Rattus norvegicus: one gene and its partner. The protein of the gene in region 1 purifies or fractionates together with the protein of each later gene. This does not show direct contact. Links are inferred from orthologs where the notes say so. Each region holds a gene or a part of one and is shown on either strand. Other genes may lie near its edges.

Evidence for each region. Proteins that work in one complex are often made in the same cells at the same time.
Region 2: the proteins of Tnks2 (region 1) and Rnf146 purify together in Homo sapiens (co-immunoprecipitation; 3 studies listed by BioGRID and IntAct, with this or other methods). This does not show direct contact. The link is inferred for Rattus norvegicus from reciprocal best matches to the Homo sapiens genes TNKS2 and RNF146.

What each region holds. Positions count from the first base shown.
Region 1 is NC_086019.1:244,025,746-244,029,245, forward strand, and holds part of Tnks2 (poly [ADP-ribose] polymerase tankyrase-2), read left to right. Parts: intron 1-458; coding exon 459-533; intron 534-2,174; coding exon 2,175-2,280; intron 2,281-3,089; coding exon 3,090-3,276; intron 3,277-3,500. UniProt on the Homo sapiens protein: Poly-ADP-ribosyltransferase involved in various processes such as Wnt signaling pathway, telomere length and vesicle trafficking.
Region 2 is NC_086019.1:30,292,520-30,296,573, forward strand, and holds the start of Rnf146 (E3 ubiquitin-protein ligase RNF146), read left to right. Parts: upstream 1-1,254; 5' UTR 1,255-1,297; intron 1,298-4,054. UniProt on the Homo sapiens protein: E3 ubiquitin-protein ligase that specifically binds poly-ADP-ribosylated (PARsylated) proteins and mediates their ubiquitination and subsequent degradation. May regulate many important biological processes, such as cell survival and DNA damage response.

The sequences.
Region 1 (3,500 bases):
TAACTTTTCAGCTGTAAACATGTTTTCAACTATATAACTATAAATATCTTTAGATATACTCATGGTAATCCCAATATTCAAGAGGAAGAGGCAAGTTTATGGATCTATGACTTCAGGGTCAGCCTGGTCTACAGAGCAAGTTTCAGGACAGCCAGGGCTACACAGAAGAATCCTGTCTCAAAAGAAGAAAAAAGAGCACATAAATTTATAGAATTATGTTCTTTCAAGAAAAATATTAAAACTTATCTTGAATTCTCAGAAATAGTATCAAATGAATTTAAAACAAAACATGAGTCAGAAAAGACAAAACTAGGGGTTGGGGATTTAGCTCAGTGGTAGAGCGCTTGCCTAGGAAGCGCAAGGCCCTGGGTTCGGTCCCCAGCTCCGAAAAAAAAGAACCAAAAAAAAAAAAAGAAAAGACAAAACTAATGTGTATGTTTTAAATGGCTTTCCATCAGATGCAAAGTACTGTTCGAGAGCACAGGGATGGAGGTCACGCAGGCGGCATCTTCAACAGATACAGTATTCTCAAGGTAACATGACCAGAAGGAGGTTTCCAAACCAAGACTGATTTCCACAGCCTGGAGTCTTAAGAAAGGTTGAGGAGAACATAGTGATGTCTAATACAATAGCTTTCTAACATGGCTTCATGGACTATAGAGGGGGAGACTGTCCTCCAAATTTTAACTTCTCAAAAACTCTGTTCATTTTTGGGGCAGAATATCACTGTCTACCTAGGCTAGTCTGGAATTTGAGTCTCTTGCCTCAGGCATTCTCGTCCTGGGGCTCAGACTGTGGGCCACCATGCCCGACATCTGTAAAGATTCTTCTATTTTAGGTCAGACATGGTAGCTCACAGCAGTGGGGGACATCCTGGCAGATCTCGGGTTTGGAGACGGCCTTGTCTACAGAGCAAGTTCCAGGACATCCAGGGCTACACAGAGAGCTATCTCAAAAAAAAAAAAAAAAAAAAAGAAGAAGAAATAAAAATGATTGAACAGGGGGCTGGAGAGATGGCTCAGCGGTTAAGAGCACTGACTGCTCTTCCAGAGGTCCTGAGTTCAAATCCCAGCAACCACATGGTGGCTCACAACCATCTGCAACACAGATTCCCTCTTCTGGTGTGTCTGAAGAGAGTGACAGGGTACTCACTTATATAAAATAAATAAAATCTTAAAAAAAAAAAGATTGAACAGTATCAGTATTCCATGAATGAAGTAGATGTGGTTAATGAACTAAAGCTTACTTAGTGTGCTGTGGTTCTGTTACTACCATGAGGTTCTTTAGGCAAGGAGGAGTCACTTAAGCGTGAAATGGAGAGGCTGATTTCTAAATGTCCTCATTCAATATGAAAGGAATCCATTTCAGTACAGTATTTAATGATTCTCTGTGTGTGCTAGAATAGCTTTACTTTTGTTATATTTTATACATAAATAAGGCTGGTTTATACCAGCTATGGTTCTTGATTACATCTGTTATCCATATTTTGAGTCATTTTGTGGGGTTTTTATGTTTGTTTGAGCTAATACTAAAACTGAAATTCTCATGCTTCCTTTAGGGACCACCAGGGGGCTGTAGCACTTAGTGCTAGAAATGTCCATTTTTACCATAGTGATTCTCCAAATGAGACCAGCTTTCATCTTTAAATCTTCTCCAGATGAAAGTGGGGACTGGCAGGGAAACAGAGTAATAGGAAAAAAGCAGGGTGATGTGTGGTGGGTGGTCATTTCAAATCATGTTCACGGTGTTCTGAGTTGGATAGTCAGGAGAACAGGATGCTGGGCCTGGTCTCATGCTTCTACAAAACTTAGTATGGCTCAAGTATTTTAGTAACAACTTAGTGGTGATTTTTATTTAGCTTCCTATTGTAAGTAATTTAAAGTTGAAGTATTTCACGCAACTTTCAAATATTCGTGACCCCTTCTTGGCCACATGTAGTCTTTCTTTCTCTTTGAAAAACAGTGTTGCATGTATATGAACTCCTACACACACACAATTGCATGTACACAACCACATATATGTGGAGGTCGAAGGACAACTTATGGGAGATGATTCTTCTTTTAGTCTGTGGTTTTTTGGGTTTTTGTTTTGGTTTTGGTTTTGGGTTTTGGGGTTTTTTTTGTTTTGTTTTTTTGTAAGATAAAAGGTAGTGTTAACTTTTCTGGTTTTTATAGATTCAGAAGGTTTGTAACAAGAAATTGTGGGAAAGATATACACACCGGAGAAAAGAAGTTTCTGAAGAAAACCACAACCATGCAAATGAAAGAATGTTATTTCATGGTAAGTTTTTACACTGCTCTAAGAGTGTAGCTTGTGTCCTCTTAATAAAGCTAACATTTCTGTAACTTACATTCGTGTTCATATCCTCAGTTACTTTTGTGTTAATATTCCTTAAAACGAACATTTTTATAAATTAAGATTACCCTGTTGGTGGCCAGTAAAATGGCTCATTATAAAGCCTTGCCACATGAACCTAATGACCTGAGTTCTGTCCCCAAAATCTATGCTGGGAAGAGAGAAGTAAGTTCTGAAACAGTGGCACACTTATGCAAAACCCCACACACACCCAACACTGGGTCTCATATGCTTATGCTCAGTGCAGTTTTGGCTAAGCCTCTGAGCAAGGAGAGGAGGGGGCAGCATGTGCCTGTGGAATGTTCCGTAGCAGATGATGGAGGAGAAGTGGCCCAGGAAAAGAAGAGAGCATGGCAGGCTGCTCAGGCCCTTCTGGTTATCTAGAGAAAGCACAGAGGTCAAGCATGCTTGCAAGACCTGACTGATGTCTTAGCCTTACTGTATGCCATGAGCTGGGAGCCCTTGGTCCAGAGTTTGTATGTTACTGGAAAGCAGTAACTTTTGCATTAGAATTTCAAAAAATGTGTTGTTATTCTAATTGAGTCTATCTGTTGGCATATGAACCACTACCCTATTGGAATCATTAATCCCAACCTAAGGAATTCTTAGCTCTAAAGATGCAAGCTAGCATCTACAGAGATGATTTGTCAATAAAGAGCAAATATTGCTGGAAACGTTAACTTGTCTGGGGCCTTGGTTCTGTTTTGTGGACTGTGTTGCCTGTCTGTCTTCAGGGTCTCCCTTTGTGAATGCGATAATCCATAAGGGCTTTGATGAGAGGCACGCCTACATAGGGGGCATGTTTGGAGCTGGGATCTATTTTGCTGAGAACTCTTCCAAAAGCAATCAGTATGTGTATGGGATTGGAGGTGGCACTGGATGTCCAGTTCACAAAGACAGATCGTGTTACATTTGTCACAGGTGAGAGATTATTACTTATTTCGATAGTAATTAGATCAGAACTAATTACATATTTGAGAAACATGGAGGGCAAGACAAACCTGATAACTTGAGGGATGCATTAAACTTTGAATACTTGGTTCTCCACACAGAATGCCAAGGGGAGCCAGGAAGATAGTGCACGACCACTGCCTGGCTCTGTTGACAGAGATGGAAGTGTGGGAGTTGAAGGGGGCCTAAGCCCT
Region 2 (4,054 bases), about 210 Mb from region 1:
TTTGCTTCTGTTTACTTTGTTTGTTTGTTTGTTTGTTTGTTAAGTAAAATCAGTTGTAGAGAGAAAATTTTTATGGACAAGATGGTTAAGTGGATAGGCGGGAACAGTTGGTATTTGTTTTTCTCTGTATTTCAATGGGAGGAAAAGGGCACCTTTCCTACTTCTAAGCAATGATTTGCTAAAGTTTTTTATAAGAAATACGTGACCAAATTTTACAGGCAAGAATCTTACCATCTAGTTATCTATTCTTGGAATTGTATCTGCATTCTGGACACTCCTTAAGTAGTCATTAGCCAGGTGAATTTTGTGCTTGCTAAAAGATAGATGACAGATTCTATAACTGAGGCTGGAATGCTTAGTTATATCATAGGTTCTTTAAAGAATTCTCTAACTTTATGTATTTGGCAATTTCCAGAAAAGTACCTTCTTCTTGAGGAAACTCAGGTATTTTATGTGACTTAAGTATTGTAATATTTAAACAAATCAGTTGAAATCAACACAAATTAATTGGCAGTTTACTAACCATTTGAAGATATAACATCTGTCGTGTTCTCATGGTTCTGTGAAAAAAGTCAGGGCATAAATTAATGCCAATATTCATGTTAAGTTCTATAATAGAAAAATACATAAAATACAAGAGAAGTAGTTTGGGTGACTATTTCTGTGTAGTGCAGTAAACATCATCGGGCATTTTATAAGCTGTGAAAGAGGAAGACTTTTAAAGGTAGGAGGATACACAGACTTATCAGGAGCTCTTTGGAGCATTGAGTACTTTGGTGTAACTTTGGTATTAATGTGGAAGGCTGGTTGCCAAGGATAAATAAGAGGGACTTCTTTATTTAGAGTTCAGAGACCTAAAGCCTTTGTTTTCCTAAGGAGTTTGCCTTTATTGAATAGACTGGAAAACTAAAATTTGGCTTCGAGTTTAGGAGGACCATGATCCATTTCTTTCAGTGTATTTAAGGCTGGTTACATAATAGTACATAGGAAATTCCCAGACTGTTCAGTATACAAAATGACAGGATTTAGTGTGACAATATGGAGGGCTAGAGAAGGTAGTAATAGTATCTCTATGTCTCTGACCAGTAAGTGGCTAAGGCATGGAAACTGAAGTGGCACATTGCAAAATTCAGCAGAGGTAGGGGTTCATATAACCACACAGAGATGAAAACAGGGGTTTTGTTAGGGAAGAACTTTCAGATGATTCTAGATTGGTCAGGAAAGGAAATGACATCAGGAACTGTATAAAGGAAAGAAGATGAGGAAGTGGCCAGAGGTCTCCATAACTAAAGAACAGGTGTGGGAATGCGAACTGATGAGAAGGGCCAGCGCTTGTGGTCTGAGAATGCGATTGTGACTTGTTTTAGATGACAGTGCCAAGTGGCACTTTATTGCTGAGAGGAAGTAAAGTGATTTGAATTTGGGAGTTCAGAAGTTGAAAATAAAGGGCAGTTTTATGTTTTTTAGACTCATTTCAGCCTAGAATCTGCAGTGGGAGGGCCCCAAAATGCATACTTTTAAGAAGCTATGTACTTGTTTCTAATAAATGGATATTGGAGCATGATTTAAGGACATCTGAGAAGCTGGGCTGTTCGTTCTCAAGGACAGTTAAGTTGGTTTGTGGGGCTGTCAGCAGATAGCATGAAGAGGATGATATGTAGTGAAATGGTGAAGTTAAGCACAGCCAGTGGTAGAGTCTCAAAGAAAGCCAAATTGGTACGATAGAATGGCTCTCTCTGATCTGCAGATGGCATTGTGAGAAAATGAGCAGTGTCTGTTTTGAGTAGGCTGTGGGAGGGATATGCATTGATATTCCTGTGTGGTATCACTAAACTTTTACACACCACAAAGGCAGAGTATAAAAGCTGGTAGGAAGAATAGAATAGTGGCAGCCATGTTATCTAAAGCCAGAATAAACTGAAACACATTTAGTAGAAATGCTGTTTAGCCAGTTACATAGAAAATTCTTTGGCCTTGAAACAGATTCATTGTTCTCTTACACATTGGTGGGGAAAGCAGGCTTCTATTCAGAGGTCATAAGTGCTACATTTACTTTTAACTATCAGAATCTTAGGTTAAAAAGATAATTGCCAGCCCTGAGAGACTTAAGGAACTGAATGAAACAGGATCCATGTCTCTCCTCTCTTAGATTTACTTACTATGTGGTTGGCCAATTCTTTAGTGATCATGTGCAGGATGTTACGCAGGTTCTACGTGGAATGATGTGCCTCTTGAAGTAGGCAACCCACAGGAAGGAATACTATATGACAACAGCTAAAGGGCGGGTGGTGTTTTTGATTTTCTGGACAGGAGGTAGCTTGAGTAAAAGTTGCCATAAAGGTAGTAAAATAAATAACAGCACCCATGAGTTAATGTGCTAATGGCACCTGTGTAGGAAGGCAGTGATGCTGACTCAGTATTAAGAATGGGCTACTGACATTTTGTTGCTGCTTTGACTGGGTTCATACAGAACTTGATTATTTTACTCAAAACATGTTTTGTAGTAAAATTGTAAGAAACAAGAGATACTCTTTAATTATTTTTAAGTGTACACTCAGTAGAGCTAATTTTATTGACAGTGTTGGAAGCCATCCTTACTATGTATTTCTGGAAATATTTCATATTCCGGACAGAAACTATGTACTTTTGAGGCAGGAGCTCCCTGTTCGCTCTTCATTTTGGTCTCTGATGACCCTTAAGTTGATCTCTGAAGTTCTCCATTCATTCAGGACTAAATACAGTATTTTTCCCTTTATGTCTGGTTCATTTGACTTTAGCAACATGTTTCCGTGTTACATTTATAGTGGACAAACTTCATTCTTTTGTTCTGAATACTGCAATACTGTGTTTTCTCTATCCATTCATCTGCAAAGAGACATGCGTGTTCATCTTTTGACTGTAATTCTGTTATTGACTTTGGCGTATGAAAGTCTGAGTCCTAGTATTCTTTTGTTTTATATAGATCTAGCAGTAGAATTGCTGGGGTGTATAGTAATTATAGATCCACATGAGTGACATCATATTACACTTATACTAGCACTCACTAAAGGTCTAACTTTACTGCATCCTTAGCCACATGTATTTTTACTTTGCTGTAGGTCTGAGTTACATTTTCCTAATGACTAAGACTGAATACCTTTTCATGTGTTCATTGATCATTTTCTTATAAAGAATGAGTTATCAAGCCTGTTTCTTATTTATTTTTGTTTTTTCCATTGAGGTGTAGGAATTAAGTAGTCTGAAAATTAAGTCTTTATTTTCAAAAATCTCCATTTCTATAAGTTGTCAATTTTTTCTTTACATTTTGATAAGGTCAAATTTATATATTCCTTTGTTCTCTATACTATTGGTGTTATGTGTCCCAATGGTGTTACGTGTTCCAATGCTTAAAGAATTTGCGTTCTATTGGCTTCTAACATTTTAAGGATTGGATTATGATAATTAGGTCATTGATCTGCTTTGATTAATTTTTATATATTGTGTGAAGTGTGGCTTGACTTGGTTGCATGTCTAAATCGGGTTGTCTCAGTGTTGAGACATACTCTTTTTCTATTGAATGGGCTTGATACACTTTCCCAAAGATCATTTGGCTATGTAATATGTTTATGCATTTGTTGAAAAGATTTATTTACGTATTTTATGTGAATGTGCTTATATAAGTTTATGTATATCACATACATATAACAGCCTATGGAGGCCAAAAGAGGGCATTAGATTTCATATAACTGACAGTATAGGTTGATGTGAGCTGTTGTGTGGGTGCTGAGACTGCTCCCCGCCCCCAAACCAGGGACCGCTGCAAGAAACAGTAAGTGCTCTTAACTGCTGAGCCATCTGTTTTCGTGATTCATAATTGTATTTTATTGATGTATTTATCTTATAATTCCATACCACAGTATCTTAGTATTGTTCTGTAGTGTTGGGATGTGGCAACGTTGAACTTTGCTCTTATTTTTAAAGATTCTTTGAGCTAATTTGATGTGAATTTAAGGACTAGCTTTTCTTTTTATGCAAAAAGACTGGTAAGATTTTAGTAGGAATTTATTCAGTCTGT